Linked DNA regions of Arabidopsis thaliana. The protein of the gene in region 4 binds, or shares a complex with, the protein of the main gene of each other region. Each region holds a gene or a part of one and is shown on either strand. Other genes may lie near its edges. The genes, in order: AT1G27820, AT5G10960, AT1G06450 and AT3G18500.

Region 1 (3,592 bases), on a different chromosome or scaffold from region 4:
AGACCAAAACGAATCTCTTTATTCGGCGAAGACCATAAATTTGTAACTAAAGATAACTACGTCAAAGTGTAAAAGTAAAATAATAAAAATCTATTTGAACACAGTTCTTTTACTGGGTAGTTTCACCCTTTACAAAATTTGCAGAATGTAGTTGCAGCCTATTCGACTTTTTGTAAATGACCAAGTTGGCAACTTAATAAATACCGCGTGGTTTATAGCTCATGTGCGTAGACTTCCGTGTGAAAATGGAAGCGGCACAAACAGAGTTGTTCAATTTTGTTGACAGGAACGCAGCTTTAGCTACATAACATAAGATTAGAGGCTTTGAGTAGATTCTAAGATATTTAAATTTATTTGTACTGTATTCTAACTTTTTAGATTCATTAAAAGTATCCAGTAAAGAGAAATTGTGTCATATGAGAGTTAAGAGAATTGTTTTGATCGACAAGAAAAGATGAAAGTTAATCTTTAGTATTTAAAGAAACATCTGATAAAACTAGAAATTATACATAATAGCAGAGCAAGTCATGTTAAACAAACATTCAGGGATCACAAAACATAGTTCATTCCTTGGACCGGCATCCTAAAGTAACCACCACCAAAATACGGGTTCTGGTGATGAGCAGCAAACATCACCGGTCTCGGTCTCGGTATCGGCATCGGTATCGGGATGTAACATCTAGTCATCATAAACTGCTGATGCTGTTGCTGCTCTAGTTGAAATTGCTGATGATCAACTCGTCTTACACTCTGCTTTCTACTATTAAGCAAATCGAAAGTCAACTTAGTGAAGACACGAGCCGTCAATTCACTGTCTGAGCCAGCGTGATGAGCTTTTCCAACACGTTTCATCTGCAACACATCAGCTATTCTCTGTAGTCCGAATTGGCTACTTAGTCCGCTGCATGATTCAGCGATTTTCTTTACGTCAAAAACAAACTTTCCCAAAAGCTGCTGGACGGTCTCGTGAAACTCTTCCTTAGTCTCCGGTAACGGTTTCCCTCCCGTTAAGCCTTTAACGAGATAAGCATTGTCGTAAGAGCCTTGAAAATTCACCCAAGTTATCTTTCCGTCCTTCTCCGTGAGAATCTGAGAAAAGTCTCTAAAGAATTCATCGATTCCAATACCTTCCTCTCTGATCTTGTCCAGATTGAGACCATTGCTTTTCAGAAACGCAATGGACTTATCGTTTTTGAAGCACTTATGTTCGTCGAAATCTGACAAGTTTATTTCCCAGGTTTTAGCGAATCCTCTTCTGTCGAATAGCGTGAAACCTAACTGGATGAGATGGGTGTTGTCCACATTGAACTTCATGTCTCTGTAACGAATTTCCTCACTCGCGTCCATCGGAGTCTCCTTTAAGCATCCGGGAAACTCTGTGTCGATAGCGATGGAACTACAATGTTTCAAACAATCTCTTATCGAATTCATCTCTACTTCCTTGTTCCATCTCCAAACTTCACCGCTACTAATTTGCTTCATCTCGAACGAAACTACGAAAGAAAAAAACGTTTGTTTTTCTGAAAGAGAAAAGCGAGAAGCCACCTGAATTTATTTTCGTTTGGTTATTAGGATTGTTGTTAGAGGAGATTAGATTATGTAGAGTAACACAGACTTCAGTTTCCTTTTTTTTTTAAGGCACAACACAAAATTTCCTTTTTGTTTCTCCTAATTCTTGTTAAACACGAGAATTTCCATTTTTCTCTTAAAAGCCAAAGAAAAAAAAAAAACTAACTTAGTGCGGTGATTGTTTTTCGCACATAATTATGTATATTTTATATAGAGCAACTAGATATTTGTTTAAATAGATTTTAATAACTTTATAATCATTTTTTACTGTGAATAGAAAATAGGGTAAATTGCAGGCCACATCCGTTGACCATGTTTTATTTCCATGGATTGTCAAAGTCAAATGTGGTTTTCACCATTTGTCTTTTCGCCTGCAAAATGACGTTTCTGCCCTTGCGTTTCTCTCTTAGCAACTGTTGAAATGTACGGTTTAGTTTAGCAGGTTTAGTTACGTACACTGTTCCGGTTCAGTTGAAGATTTTTTGTTCACGTTGACGCGATTCGGTTCCGTTACAAGTGAGATTATTCCGAAGTGACATCAACATTTAATGCCCCCAAAAAGTTTAGATGTGACTATTGTCACAATTAATGCAAAATCATCATTACATCAAATAATATTAAAAAAATTATTAATAATAATTAAAAAAAAATTTGTTGAGATGAAGAAGATGAACCCAGGAACAAAGAATTATTGCGAACGTACATTGCTGCTGAAGAAGTGTTGATCTTGTTTTTGTACCAAGTTTGGAGCATTGCTCGTGTAAGTAATGAAGTTCTTTTAAGAAGTTTTTTTTATGTCATATTAGGATCTTGATTGTGTTCGAACTCCATTTTTTTATCAGAATATTTGCAAAATCTATATTTGTTTGTTTAAAATAGTCAAATGATAATTGGTATTTAGGTTTATAAATGTGTAGTATCGACATTCCATTTGTTTTTTATATGTATAGTATTTTTCAGTTGCATTTAATGTGTGTCTCCTGAATTTATGATGCAGGTGGGTTATGGATATTCCCGTATTTACCATGGTCGGTGAGTGGAAATGCAAAGAAGGAGAATGGAAATTTGAACCTGAGGAAGGCATCTTTGGTCGTTGTGTACGCGTTCAGGAAACCATGACGTACACGGACTTTGTCCGTACACTCCGAGAGGCTTTCAGTTTGAAGTCCACCGAGATCAATCCCATAATTAGCTACTGGATGCCGGGTGAAATGTCAGTGCTGATAGATACTAAACGCCCTCCTGTATACATTGACAGTCAGATGGGTCTCGAGACGTTTTTTTTGGTTCGTGGTGGGTATCTTTCTCTCAACTTGTTCGTCTCTTTCAATAATACAGTGAAGGCGTTCGGGAATACTGTCTCTAGGTCTCATGGTGAAGTTTCTGAAAGTGACCGTGTGTTTGATAGTGCTACAAATGTTGATGAAAATAATGAGGATGCAGAGGAGCAAGCCGATGTTGAAGACGATACAACAGAAGCGGATGAATTGGAGGAGGGCAACGAAGATGATGATGGGTGTGATGATTATCTTGGTGTGGATGGATCTATTGGGGGAAGTACCCTGTATCCTACCACAGACGGTAGTGAAGGTATTGGCGAAGAATACGATTACAACAAGTGGAACGATGTAATAGTAGAAGAATATGTACAAGGAAATCTTGAGGAAGACGTCAGTCTCACTCAACAGACTGCTCAACATCCAGGGAAATTCAGTCGTTTATTGGAAACGTGTACGTACACGGGTGTTAGTGTACCTAGCGGAGATACAGGGGAATTCAGTCGTCTCTTGGAAACGTGTACGTACACTGGTCTTAGTGTACCTGGCGAAGAAACAATCTCTCCATTGGGTTACGGTACACGCTGCGAAGGGCAAAGGGATTCCAATCTTATTTGTATAGACGAAGTCACCAGGGATGAAGTGATCGAAGGTATTGGAGCTTCCTCAACTGGGACACAAAATGATAATGGGGTAGTTACCGCAGCTGAGGCTTACCAAGTGTATAATGAATTTCCTAAGTTACA
Region 2 (4,850 bases), on a different chromosome or scaffold from region 4:
TTGGATTCACAAGGATATGTATATCATAAGTTGATGAGTAATCGTTATAATTAGGGTTGGCACTGATATTTTGCTGGTCTCAACCAAATTGATAAACATACTATGTTTAGGCATACCAAATTTTCCTCAACGAGAACAAGTTCAAAAAAGACATATGGCAGCCACAAGATAATAATTAGACACTAATTAACTCAATTCATATCTGATATGTATATAAATAATTTTGATGCTATTTCGTCCGCACTGTGTTACACATTTTTATTTAAATATGTAACGTTTTTTTGGTTACCTAAAGCAAAGCAATAGCCAATAGTGGTCATTTGATAATAACTAAACCCTAAAACAACAAACATGCCCAAATCAGAATCCCAATTCAACCTTGGTAAAAACGTTCTCCCACCTCTGATCAAAGCCCACACAACAAAGGCCCAAATCAGAATCCCAATTCCCAACACACAAACACACGTGAAGAGACTCAGAGAAGCCGTTAAAGACAGGACTAGCAAGTACACTGTTTCTTCTGTAATAAGAAGTAGATTTGATTCTCTGCCACACCTACATAATAGTGACTCGGACTTTTGCCGTATTGCTGTTGTTTTCTTCTTTTTACTTTATTTCTCGTGTCGTGTTGCTATTGGATCATATGTTTTCGATCATCAAACAAGTTCGTGTAATGAAATATTTAAGGTTTTGAGAAACTTAGATTTAATTATCTTGATGGAAACTGAGTTCATACACAAATCCACATTTTGACATAATACTTCCAACAGGCTGATACTTTTTTTTTTTTCTTCGGCAATTGAATGAGCTACGACGTCTCAATCAGTCAAATCTCGTAATCTTCTGTACCACTTGCGACTCAGATGACGTCTGAATACTTGCCCAACAAAACATTGATTGCATTAGAATGCTACTCATTGACAATATGATAATAAATTGGCTATTGAGGTGATTGGCGAATGCAACAGCATACATATGTGATTCTCCTCCACATTAACCATGACATGATACCACTTACATCATAAACACCTAAATAACAAATCTATACATCAATCGATTACCATAGCTCTGTTTTTTAAACAATGTAACACATATAACCTCTAGCATAAGCAGTTCATTGTTCTCCTTATCAACTTGTATCAACGAAGAGGGAAAGAAGAACACAGGAAGATTCAACATTCTCTTAAGCATAAAACTTACCAGTTTGCATCTTCAAACTGGTATGGTTACAAAGAATTACACAGTAACTGCAAGCTGAGACATGCAAACGCTACTACAAGAAGCCACTGTCAAGTTACATTGGTCACTAGTAAGAAGAAAACACACACAAAAAGAAAAGAGAAGAAAAATTAAAATTGGAGATTATTTATTAAATAAACGGGTAGCTGAATTGATATACATTCAGAAACTCAAGCTAAAACAAAAACCCCTCAAATTTTGATCACAAGGGGTTTTCCTGAAAACAAAGCAACAAAGACACAACAAGTCACTTACTAACACCAATTTGCCAATTTACACAACGACGATTCTATTTTGGTCTTCTCACACTCACAAAGACTAAAGAAATATATCTAATCGCACTTCCCTGGAATTTTCAAAGTATCTTTCATTCCTTTCTTCTTAATTAGCAACAGTAGTAGTAGTACCATCTTCCACACCTAGACCATACAAGACTCCAGTGTATTTCTCAGTTGATCCCGGGAAATAACGTTCCTTGAGCTTCCTAAACGACCCTAAGGTGAGCAAGCTATCCGACCCAGCTTGATGACAAATCCCAACTCTCTCCACTCCCATAAGCTCCGCAAGTCTGTTCAATCCACCAAACAGTCCGTTGCAGAACGTCATCAAGTGCTTGATATCGTAAACCGTAGGGAAATACACATACAGAAGCTTGAAGAAATCAGCTTGCTTGAGAGGCAATTCCTTACAAGTCAACAACTTAACCAAATACCCGAAATCATATCCACCATGGAACGTAACCCACGAGATAGCATCGTTCAAAACAATCCCAGACGACATCATAAGCTCACCAAACCTAACCACATCAATACCTTTCTCAATGTTCTTCTTGAAATCAATCCCACACTGACGCAACAGCTCAATAGACTCACTCGCGTAGATATCCTCACCGATGTTGAACTCACGGAAATTGAATTGCCAGATGCAGAACTTATCCGTCCCACAAGTCGGAAGATTCCCATTCTCATCAGAAAAAGTTAACCCAACTTGAATCAATTTCAACAAATCGACATTTTCCTTGAGAGTCCTGTAGTTAAGATCGTTATTGTACTTGAAAGTAGCAACAGGCTTCAAAACCACACCTGGAAACTCAGTATCCATAGCGATATAGCTGAATTTGTCAACAATCTCACGGATCAACGCGAATTCTTCAACCAAATTGTAATCCCAAACCTCTCGAATCATAATCGAATCTTCTTTCAAAGTCTCCGCCATTTCTAGATATACAACAAACCCAGATCTGAAAACAAAGCATACGTCGGAACTCGGAAATACTGCGAAACTCGTATCGGTAGATCTGTAAACGAAACCTTCCGATCTGAGGAAGAGGCAACAACACCAGGAAAATCAGAAATCGATGTAACAAAAAGCAAACCCTAGCTGTGAAACGAAAATCGAAATGAAACGGAGAGACATGAAAGTATGAAATTACCAGAGGTTTCGCAATACAGATGTAAGAAAAGGAACAGATCTAGCAGATTCGAAGAGAGATCTGTGCGTCTGCGAGAGAGAAATTATCGGGTCAACCAGAGAGAGAGGTTTCAAGTGGTATGGCTTTGGAGAAGATGAAGTGATAAATAAAGACAAGTGTGAGCCTTGAAACGAAGCCGTTTTGTTTGACGATGAAAAGCTTATACGACGACGTTTTGCCGTGCGTCTTCTTACATCAATCATTACGTTTTGGCCAGTTACCAATTATTTTATCCGTATTGTCCGTTTTCTAATTATTTTAATGATGCGAATTGTGTGATATGATGACCAATTTTTATTTATGTGTATCACGGAAATTCCGTTCGTTTGTAACTTCCATGATCTTTTTTTTTTCTTTTGCTTTGTAGACCTACCTCCATTATTCTTAAATTTTATGTATTTTATAGCATTTGGTACTAGAGTTAAATTGTTATACCTTATTATGACGATCGAACTTTATAGTTATAGGAAAAGTTGTATAAACTAAACTGCATTTTGATTTTTGTACAAGTCTAAATTTATATGGTTAAGAAACAGATTGTGCTAATAAACAATCAAAATTATTTATTTTTGCTATGGAGCTAGTCAGCTAGATGATTTGAAGAACCTTAAAACTTCTTTTTCTTACAATTTTAACTCAGTTTTATATCATTTGGTAATAATATTCCTACGGATTGTCTCGCAATTTTATATCACATTTTAATAATTTCTGTACTGATTATCTCACAAAATTGAAAGAATATCAATTTTTTTTTTTGTCGAAAATTTGAAAGAACATAATATTTGATTATTTTCCAGGTAAACTCTTTTATTTCTGTTTTTTTTTCTTCTATGTAAACTCTTCAATTTCGGATTTGTTTCCTATGTAGTTCTGCCAATTAATTGAAAATATGGTATCTTGTTTTTTTTCAACTCAAAAAAAGGATTTTAGATTTATGTTATCTTGTTATTAAGAAGGATTTGTTAGCATAATTGTTAAACAAAACAAAGTAATTTTAATTATAATAGAATTGACTTTGGGATTTCTACCTTACAAGTTACAAGTGGCCAATATTAATGCAATCATACAACGAATGGGAAGACGTTTGATAGAGATACATGCATCACTTGTTACAATCATCTTCGTTCATGAATAGAATCATTTTAGATTTATTTATTTTAGAAAAAAACTTTCAAGTTTCACCAGCGTAATCAGTTTTTCTTCTTAAAATTATTACATGAAAAGATTCTCCAACTCAAACGAGGACCAAAGTTCTTTTTTTTTTTACAAAAAAAGACAACTATTAGGAAGAAAGGGGATAAAGGAATTTTAATTCTAATTATTATTACGGAGTCAAGGCATCATCGTGCTTCCCACTTACCCTCAAGCATAATCCATTGTTTTGTAATAATTAATTCGTTTTTATATAAACTAATGTATTAGCTTGTTTTATATCAAATAATTGTGTACCTTTTTCTATAAATTAAAAAAAATAAACAAGTAATGTCAAGTCACGAAATATTAGATGGTGGTTTCATCATCCGACCATTTTTAGGAAATTTCTTCTGGAATCCAACACATACCAAACATGAAAGTTTCTGCATAATTGTTCTTATATATATAACAAAATTTACTTAATTGTTACCCTCCAAAAATATGTCTCACCGTGTAATTGCTTGCTCATCTAAAATCTAAATAGAATTCTATATTTAAAATCAAAATCGAAAAAAACGAAAATAGAAACTAAAATTGAAATTTTTGTTACTTAAATTAGAAAGAATTATTTAAACAGTTGCATGTATTTAACGTAGATAAATTCTTTAATATCACGTGCACATATAATTTAGATTAGGTAAATCATCTAGTACCAAATATTTGTTTAATTTTATGGGTTTTGGATTGTTTAGAGATGTTTAGATCGTTCCTACAAATGTTCGAACAGCTTGATAAAACAAATGTCATATTCTACATGAACTCTAGGTAACATTTCGATATGATCTATTATAAGATACACTTAAAGATAAGAAGGCTCATAGCTGTTAAGTTACTAAACGTTAAGTTCACTCGTAAAAACGAGTATTTAGTTCTTGATCACGTTTCAGAGAAAATAATCTTATTAGAAAACCATTAAAAACCAAGACCGTAAATCTGAAGATATATC
Region 3 (4,054 bases), on a different chromosome or scaffold from region 4:
GAGCCAGTATCAATGATATAAGAGTGGAGGTTGACAACACAAAGTAATCCTGCTGATACACATCTTTTTTCAATCTGTTCCCATTACTCACACAGTAAAAATGCATTGTGTAACAAAGGTACTTACCGTTCTGCTGCAGCTTGACTGTGACAGGTAGACGCACATCTATCTGTCAAAAAGTTGATGCAGGCACCAAAGCTTCGATCCTTGGATATCATAAGCAAGAAATACTACAAGGACCATTCAAAGTTTCCTGGCCACTCCCCAGCAATGTGAACAAGGATAATGTTTCCGCTGAATTTATGTAAGTAGAAGCTATACTTACTAACAATCTAACCGTATGATCAAACAACTATTCTCCTTAAATCTTTCAATCCTAGAGTTCATATGATAGATTCTGCCTGTAGGTTTTAGCTAGTAGTGCACACCTAAAAAGTAGTCGTTTTAGAATCCAATTTTACATCTTAGTGCCAGTCAGTCATTAGCTTGAATTAGTTTAGATAGAATTTAGCAAGTTTTATAAAGAGCACTAACATCCAATTTATTATTGCGTTTGAAACAGGGATGGGATTCTGAGAATAGTAATTCCAAAGCTTTGAGGGTTCATCGTTCTGAAACCATATATAGATACGGTAAACATTGTGTGTGATATAGCAGTTTGTGTGGAAAAGAAAAATATCAAATCATGAAGAAAGTTTGGTCTTTTATGTAAAATAGTTTGGTCTTTTATATATCACAGATTGTAGACAGGCATTACTCAAAGTGAAGCCATGTAAACAATCCATAAATATATAAAAATAAAATCTTCATTACTACTACCAAAAGCCAGAAAAGAAAAAGAAAAAAAAAAGAAAAAAGCTCAGAAGCATCTAATCATCCTAAAGCTGGGGAAATCTCAATCTACTCAACTACGTAGCAAGCATTATTGTTGTAATAATTAGGAACTGGTCCAAGATAATCAACAGTAGCAGATGGCGTCTGAGACGGGTATGCAAAAGTGCTTGCAGGTAGATGAGTAAGCTGCACATACGTACCGGTAGCATTACAGAACGCCCATGGGGCACCTGAAGGATCGTAGGAGACAAGCTGAGGCTGCTCATAGTTCTGGACATATCCATTGTGGAACACAGGATATGAAGCTACATTCTGCTGGCACATCAAAGGAAGAGTCGGCTCTGGCACAGGCGCAGGGGCAGGGGCGGCAACGAGGTTGCTTTTCCCAATTCCATAGATCAATCCTCTAGCAAATCTGGAATCTTCATAGACATGTTTAAGCTTGATGAAGACAAGTGCAGTCATTAAGCTGTCTGAACCAGCGTGATGTGCTCTTCCCACACGAGTGATCTGAAGTAGCTGGGCTAGTTTGCTTAACCCGAGGTGTTCACCTAGTCCTTCACAGAATCCAGCCATGACCTTGGTGTCGTAAACTTGACCGAACACTTTGACAACCTCTGTTGCAAACTCGCCGTGAGTCTCTGGTAGCTTGCCATGATTGAGGATACTCAAGAAGTAAGCGAAATCGTAAGCTCCTTGGAAAGTGACGAACTCAACGTGTTTCTGAGAACGAAACACAGTCATAAGCTTAGGGAAAAACCCGTAGCCGAACATATCAACTCCTTCGTCTCTAATCTTCTGCAAATCCAAACCATGCCTCCTCAAGAATTCGATGGAAAGCTCGTTGCGTGTGTCTGATGGGTCGCCGAAATTGGAGAAGTTAATCTCCCAAACACCACCGATCTCTCCCTTGGCGTTGAAAAGAGTGAAACCACACTGGATCAGCTTGGTGTTCTCGACATTACCTTTCATGGCTCTGTAACATTCGTCGCTAGAGGAATCGAAATAAGTGCGGAAAATAATGCCAGGGTACTCTGTATCGAAAGCGATGAGTGGGAATCGCTTGAGACATTCGGCCATACGAGCCATCTCTTCATCGACGTTGCTTCTCCATACTCTCCTCGCCAGCGGTTGATGAATCTCGTTCATGATGATGATTTCTGCAGATAATAAAAATTAGGGTTCTTTTCTTAGGAGGGAGAGGCATGAATACGAGAAGTCTTTTTGGTTTGATTGATTGTGTGAGAGCATTAGGGTTCTTTATAAAAAAAAAGAGAGTATTTATCCTTTTCTTAAATAAATTCGTGTACCTGAGTTTCCTTTTTTCTCGGATTTTTTCTAATTAATTAAAGATACATAGCTTAAGCTAATAGCTTGCTCTCCAATTAATTTTAACGCGGTGTTGATCATGACGGTTTATATTCTCTCTGATTATAATTTTATTTGTTAATTTAATTTCTGTTAAATTTAATTTAGAAATTATCTTCTTCTTTTTTAATTTTCGTTAGGAGTTAGGAAATTCTTGTAGTTATCTTTTACTTTTTGCTACTATATGGTGCTTTTACTCTCTTTTTAACCAATCCACAATTTCCTTTTTCCGTCCCAAAAAGTAAATTACATATAATTAATAGATAATGGCAAAACTTCCAATACAAGTATTAGATTAATATGTAAAATGAGTATCAATTAGTGTTTAAACTTTTGATTTTAAACACTAAGAACTTGAATGGTTATTGTTATTAGATGCTTTGACACTAATTATAGAAATCGCATCATACCATTTTAATTCTTTGTAAGTCAAAAACTTATCCATAACATTAAAATATTTTGTTTTATAAAACTTTATATTTGACAGCATTTATCCTCTCATACCAAAAGTTTATGATATCAAACTAGTATAATTATTTACTAGGCTAAACTATTATTGTATGTGTTTTATTAGTTTAAATAAATTTTATAGCGGTAATTGATTCGCTTATAGATGTGTTTTGGTCTTGGACATGAAAATACAAAGGTCCATATAATTCTTCTACTTCATTTTTTAATTTCGTTTTTTCCCTTAATGCCTGTTAGGTGTTCGATATAATTCCGCAGAGAGTGTGGGTATATACAGCGACGTTGTGGAACGCGGAAACTCAAAATAGCTCCATATACTCTTTGAGATACTATGAGGTTCCTCCTCATGAGATCACTTCTGGTTCACCCATGTGGTGGCTCCATCATCAATGTCCGATCAACGACTACGTCTGCTCAATATGTAGCTTCCAGATCAAGAGACCCTGTTTTCGAGAAGCTCATGGACAAATACAAGAACCTTCTCAAGGTCATTGCCATACAAGACCTTACCCTCGCCAATCCAACAGCTGATCCTCCCTCTCTATCCATTGAGTTTCTCTCCAGGCTCTCCCAGAAGCTCCACCTTAATCGTGGCGCTGCTTCTTTCCTGCGAAAGTATCCTCACATCTTTCATGTCTTGTATGATCCTGTGAAAGCTGAGCCCTTTTGCAGGTTAACTGATGTAGCCATGGAGATTTCTCGCCAAGAGGCTTTGGCTATCACTGCTACTTTGTCTCTTGTTGTTGACCGGTTGGTTAGGCTCTTGTCTATGTCCATATCAAAGTCCATTCCGCTTCGTGCGGTTTTTAAGGTTTGGAGAGAACTTGGGCTCCCAGATGATTTTGAGGACTCTGTGATCTCAAAGAACCCTCATCTTTTTAAGCTTAGTGATGGTCATGAATCCAACACCCATATCTTAGAGCTGGTTCAGGAAGAAGAGAAAAGACTGGAATTTGAGGCCGCGGTTGAGAAATGGAGGGTGGTTGAGTGTTCTAAGGAGGATTGCAGTGTCGATAGAACCGAGATTCAGTTTAGTTTCAAACATAGTTACCCACCAGGAATGAGACTGAGCAAGACATTTAAGGCTAAAGTTAAGGAATGGCAGAGGCTGCCTTACGTAGGGCCATACGAGGACATGGTTGGTAAGAAGAAGAGTAGATCCGGTGTGATGGGAATAGAGAAAAGAGCGGTTGCGATTGCTCACGAGTTCCTGAATCTGACTGTAGAGAAGATGGTGGAGGTAGAAAAGATCAGCCATTTCAGAAAATGTTTTGGGATTGATTTGAACATAAGAGATTTGTTCTTGGATCACCCGGGCATGTTTTATGTGTCAACTAAAGGGAAAAGACACACTGTCTTTCTCAGAGAGGCTTATGAAAGAGGA
Region 4 (5,355 bases):
AACAGAAACATAACTGATTAAGGATTTGGATGGAACAGCAATTTTGATGTAATAAGGATTTAGTTGTTTCTTTAAGAAACATTTGAATAGATGAAAGATACATATAATGCTCAATATGGCTGCTTCTCTGGTCCACCATCATGGTATATAGTTATTAAACCAAAGACAAATGAAACATTTTCATAATGCCAGACCAAACCAAACCGAAAAATACATGAGAGAAAAAAAGTCAAAACAGCATCAAACATCTGTTGGGCATTTCATCGAACACTTTGAAGGCATGCTACCAAGAAATAAGCTAAACAGATTCTTCATTGATCTGAATAAGATTTTCTTCTTCTTGTCTCTTCTGCATATCCTTCTCGTATTGATTCAACGCTTCCTCCATCCTCATCTGCGTAAAACCCAACAGTCTAAGGTCGAGCACAAGCTTTCTCATAGGAAGACAGAGAGAAGAAACAGACCTTGTAGCTAACTTCGATGCGATGCATTACGTAGAATCCGAGGGCCCCGCCGAGAAGTGTTCCAGCTATGATCCGTGCGTAACCCCATGTCATTGAGCTCAACGCCATTAATTTCCTCACTTTCTCTTGTCTCTTCTTCCTTCGATTCCAACTTTACAGCTCTCAATCTCTTTAGAATTCCTTTTCATTTTACCGGAACCAAGATTAGAACCGTACCAATTGGTTCAATTCTTTCTTTTTGGTACATTTAAACCAAGCTTATGTCCGCTTCGGTTTAGATCCAGAATCAAGTAAACTGGTTCTCTCACTTTAAATTACGTTCGAAGAAGTCGATTTAATATCCTAGTGACCCAATACGCACACAAGATTGAAGCTTCTGATCGTCTCAATTTTTATTTATTTATCGAGAAGTCGGTTTGATATAGAACCATGATCAGGTAATTTCGGTACGCTTATACATTTAATAAAAACACATTTATAACGGTTCGGTTCAAAGAAAACTAAGCTGGCACTAGATGCCTTTAACCGTCCGGTTCAAAGACAAATTCAGAAACAAGAGCCAAGTGATCGCTTCCCAATTCCTGCAAACCAAAGACGAATAAGGCTTTAAGCATCAATCATAGAAATGACCTCACCAAATCTAAACTGTTTGATAGAAAGACATACTTGACAAGGAAGGCCTTTGGTTTTGCATAGAACATCAATAGGAAGTGTGTCAAGAACTCTTGCAGGTAAAAGACCATCAGAGTACCTTAACCAGACCACACATGTATTTCTAATTAGTTACTTCATCAGCCAAATATTAAATTTGTCCATTTGAGTTTTGGTTGTGTTTAGAATGTTTTACCAGAGATAATCAACCGTTCCGAGAAATTTCGAGTGATATGAGGTTGCTAGAGGTTCACCAACAGAGTCCCTGGTATTTGCTGAGCCCTGTTGTGTACCATGTTCATGAGCAAATTTAAGGTCTTGTCATATATAGACAGGGACATTAAAGCTTTGTTTGTTACCTTAACTGAGGCGTATGAGCTATTGAGTTTCAGAGGATGCGCAGCCCAGTACGAGTTCTCTTGCCCGGTTGCGACACGGATCTCTTCTTTTGTCCAAGAGCTACAAAAACTTCTACTAGTGTGTGAACACAATGGCTATTCCAGCAGGCAGTCACAAGACAACCATTCACAGAACTGATTAAATCTTCAAAAAACAATCTTACCTGAAAGTTATTGTATTACTGGATTTGCTACCAGTTTCAAGAACTTTGGTAGGACGACAATTTTTCTGGCCGGACAGCTCTTTTTTGTCATGTTCCATGACATTCAGCTGTAAGATAGAAGCATAATCCTATTTAAAGAAACTACAAGAGGACACAGTGTAGTTTGACTGAAGCAAAACTATGAATAGTCATACCTCAGAGGACGCCAAGAAGTTGTACAATGGACTCTACACGTAATAAGATAAACTCAAACAATGAATAAACAAATACACAAACCAAAGTGGAAGAGTTTATTTGAAAAGATACGTACCTTGGGAGTGCTATTGAAATCTCCGCATAGAACAATGGGAATGTCACCCCATTTCTTAGAGAGCAAGTGAGCCTTTGAGCAGAGTGAACGGACCTATCAGTCAAGAACAAGGCAAATCAGGAACTCAAGAAAAAACATAAGCCACGAATTCAATACGTTTTCATGAGCATTAGGACATATACTAATGAACATGTCATGACATATACTAGTAACTTAGACTTGTCTTAGATATTTAAACTAATGCTAGTAAACATCTCTTGACTGAGATTCAGTACAATTTCCTGAAGTCTTAAAGCCAAAGGTGAAAGGGCCAGATCAACATTTTGTAAACTTTCATGACAGTCAATTGCTCGTGTAGCGGATATACAAATTGAAATGTCGAGGCTTACCTGACCCAGCTTCACATCTCCTTGATTTGGATTATAAAGCACGTGAATGTTACCCAGCAGTATCTTTCTTGACTTATTAGACTTCCGGAGCTGACGGGAAACCCAAAAAAAAACTGGATCAGTCAAAGCATATACATGAAAAAAGAAGTTCGTAAAACATTCAAAAAAAATTTCTACCTCAAGAACAGCAAGCTGTGCAACATTATCCCGCATACCAAACTGGCTAAACTCAATGTTTTCCCTCTCCAAAACTCCAAACCTTTTGAAAACAAGATAAATCTTAAACAATGCTGAGTTGTAGTAGTCGTTTTTCTTCACACTAATACAGATTGAGTCAAACAATATGTGCTACCTGTCAGCCTTCCAAAACATTGCGCAACCATCGACGTTATCTCCAGTTCGCCGCTGCCATTGCAAAGCTTATATTTGTAGTCCTTCTATATAAACACAACTTTTGTTGAGGCTTCAGACGAAAAGGTAAATAAAACCAACCGACAAACCATGTCTTACATTTTACCCCATTAATCTTATAAGCATAAAATTTTTCATTGAACAAGGAAATACATCAACCTTATAGGAGCCAGCATATCCAGCTTTCTCCATCATACTGAATAGATCAAAATATTTATCTACTTCCTACAAAGGTCCACAAACAAAATCAACTTAACTATCTTAACACGATATAAAACAAGGTAAAGTTCATTACCTGCATAGAGATTATGTCTGGATTGAGACGAATGAGTTCTTCGCATATCAACCTTTTGCGGTAGCCCCACTTGAGGTAAGGAACAGACACATTGGAGTACAACTCTCTGTGATATGATGAATTTCCATCTCCCAATATGTTGTACGACACTACAGTGAATCTCTCTAAAGCTAATATTACATAGAGACACACTAGTAAGATCCAAAGGCATCCACAATTTCACAAGCTTCATGGACAAACAGTAACTCAAGCTATTACTAATATCTCTAATTTACTAAATCCTAACTAGTTCACAAATTCATAAGTAAGAGCAGAGTTTTTCCATAAGATCATTATTAAACTACCTTGAGAAACTGGAGTTGTATCTGAATCGATCCAATCACGAGCAATCTGAGAAGACGGTATTTGATCGGGATGTTGACGCCGGGGAAGAGGATTCTGCCATCTACGGCTGTAAGAGCGATTTGAAGATGATTCGGGATTTGAATCGGACGGTCCAGATGTGGAGGAGGAGCAACACACGAAAGAGGAACGGAAAGATAGAGACGATAAAGGACATTGATGGAATCCAGATGAAAGGTGACCACCGGAGGGTAAGATACGGTAAGCTTCGCTTGGCCGTGACCAAGAACAATCAACGCGATTCACACAACGCATTCGATTTTGTGGATGTTAGAGACGAAATTCAGAAATTTGGATGAAATCGAAAACCACACAAACCTCTTGGCGCCATACGGATAAATATCTTTTTTTTTTTCTTCCTTTGGTCAGAGAAAAAAAAATACCAAACCATGGGCCATGGGCCAATACTAGTATACTACACCAGGCCTTGTTTAGCTGAGATCCTGTTTTTTGTTATTCGGATTTTTTGTTTTAATGTCTATTGTTTTTTTTTGTGAGTTTGATTTCAATTTATGTCATTTTGTTTCTAATTTTAGTAGGATGTCAGTTTTTATTTTAGTCTAGTTTTATCATGTTAAGAACTTGGAGATGATATTTGATTTTGAGTTATGAGATTTTGTTTTTTCTTTCATCGTCCTTGTAATTTTTTTTTGTTTTTTCATATACTATGATATTATTTCTACTTTTATTGGAGTATCAATTATTTGATTTCAAATTTAGTGATAGTAGCTCAAAAAAAAAAAACCTTACACAAAAAAGTATATGTCTTTTTGTGTAAGGCGATTACTGATTACACACACAAAAAAAAAAATGTCTTCGTTTCTACCTTTTTTTTTGTTGCAATATTGCCTTTGACAAAGAAAAACTCTATGATTGCGTCTACATTATAATGTTCTTTAAACTTTACTATAAAATATCACTAACTAATCTTGAAATACAAATTAGTGAAGGCATATTGTTAAATATAAAAGTGTATGCGATTTAAAACATTACTGATTGAATTGCATAATCTCATTTTATGGAAAAAAAGTAAAGTAGGTATAAGAAAATGGATATAACAAGATTAAAAACAAAAGAGAAATAAATGACACGCAACAACCAAAGCCAAAAGGGTGCGTTACCATTAATTCAGGGAAAGCGAAATAAACCCAAATCTCTCTTCTAACGAAGTAACAACTCACCCACTTCTCACATTGATTCACTCCTTTCCAGTTTTTACATATAGCCTTCGTTCATCAATCACCTTAAGCAAATTGCAATCACAAAAAAAAAAAAGTACAGTACTTAGCAAAATTTTAAGTTTTTGTTATTTCCACGGCAACTTAGCAAATATGCACCACATATTGACATTAGCTAATATACAACACATGTTTTTTTAGAAATGTACAAGCATTAACAAATATCCAACACAAAATGACATGATCGTAGATGATTAAGATAATTCGATCCCTATAACTAATAGTTTCCAAAACTTCTGCTGACTTTTCTCTCGACAGCGATGGTAAGAAGAAGGTACAAAGTTTTGAAGCCCGAATATAACAAAAGGACAGAAAGCTTTTAGTTTTCTAGATAAGATCTTAGCTTTGGTCACGTAAAAAAAATTAAAAGTGAATTGGTTAACAATATAGGAGTACTTTGTATCCAAAGGTCATTGCAATAAATAAACACTTAAGTACTCTGTAGTCACACATCTCTAGGAGCTTAATATTGGATAATCGCTTGTAGACTTGTATTAAAATATTTAGTAGGTCAAATCCCTATCTTCTACAGTTTCTACTCTCGTCCGTACAGACTACAGACACTATGCTATAGTTTTGTGTTGAATTCTACAAAGTACAAATTCTTCTTTCGGTGCCAATAACAAATAAACA

What was found.
Region 1: AT3G18500 (region 4) and AT1G27820 share a complex: the UniProt entries of both Arabidopsis thaliana proteins name them as parts of the CCR4-NOT complex.
Region 2: AT3G18500 (region 4) and AT5G10960 share a complex: the UniProt entries of both Arabidopsis thaliana proteins name them as parts of the CCR4-NOT complex.
Region 3: AT3G18500 (region 4) and AT1G06450 share a complex: the UniProt entries of both Arabidopsis thaliana proteins name them as parts of the CCR4-NOT complex.

The regions. Positions count from the first base shown.
Region 1 is NC_003070.9:9,689,518-9,693,109, reverse strand, and holds AT1G27820 (Polynucleotidyl transferase, ribonuclease H-like superfamily protein), read right to left. Parts: upstream 1,483-3,592; coding exon 550-1,482; downstream 1-549. UniProt on the Arabidopsis thaliana protein: Ubiquitous transcription factor required for a diverse set of processes. It is a component of the CCR4 complex involved in the control of gene expression.
Region 2 is NC_003076.8:3,462,185-3,467,034, reverse strand, and holds AT5G10960 (Polynucleotidyl transferase, ribonuclease H-like superfamily protein), read right to left. Parts: upstream 2,938-4,850; 5' UTR 2,672-2,937; intron 2,558-2,671; 5' UTR 2,455-2,557; coding exon 1,621-2,454; 3' UTR 721-1,620; downstream 1-720. UniProt on the Arabidopsis thaliana protein: Ubiquitous transcription factor required for a diverse set of processes. It is a component of the CCR4 complex involved in the control of gene expression.
Region 3 is NC_003070.9:1,963,853-1,967,906, reverse strand, and holds AT1G06450 (Polynucleotidyl transferase, ribonuclease H-like superfamily protein), read right to left. Parts: upstream 2,068-4,054; 5' UTR 1,984-2,067; coding exon 901-1,983; 3' UTR 688-900; downstream 1-687. Other genes in the region: ACD32.1 (alpha-crystallin domain 32.1), read left to right, coding at 1-43, 140-304, 563-599; AT1G06440 (Ubiquitin carboxyl-terminal hydrolase family protein), read left to right, coding at 3,002-4,054. UniProt on the Arabidopsis thaliana protein: Ubiquitous transcription factor required for a diverse set of processes. It is a component of the CCR4 complex involved in the control of gene expression.
Region 4 is NC_003074.8:6,350,928-6,356,282, reverse strand, and holds AT3G18500 (DNAse I-like superfamily protein), read right to left. Parts: upstream 3,812-5,355; 5' UTR 3,740-3,811; coding exon 3,427-3,739; intron 3,253-3,426; coding exon 3,083-3,252; intron 3,013-3,082; coding exon 2,947-3,012; intron 2,782-2,946; coding exon 2,729-2,781; intron 2,636-2,728; coding exon 2,554-2,635; intron 2,467-2,553; coding exon 2,377-2,466; intron 2,081-2,376; coding exon 1,988-2,080; intron 1,905-1,987; coding exon 1,872-1,904; intron 1,785-1,871; coding exon 1,678-1,784; intron 1,587-1,677; coding exon 1,475-1,586; intron 1,398-1,474; coding exon 1,312-1,397; intron 1,216-1,311; coding exon 1,131-1,215; intron 1,046-1,130; coding exon 986-1,045; 3' UTR 837-985; downstream 1-836. Other genes in the region: AT3G18510 (ATP-dependent helicase/nuclease subunit), read right to left, coding at 299-394, 465-572. UniProt on the Arabidopsis thaliana protein: Acts as a catalytic component of the CCR4-NOT core complex, which in the nucleus seems to be a general transcription factor, and in the cytoplasm the major mRNA deadenylase involved in mRNA turnover.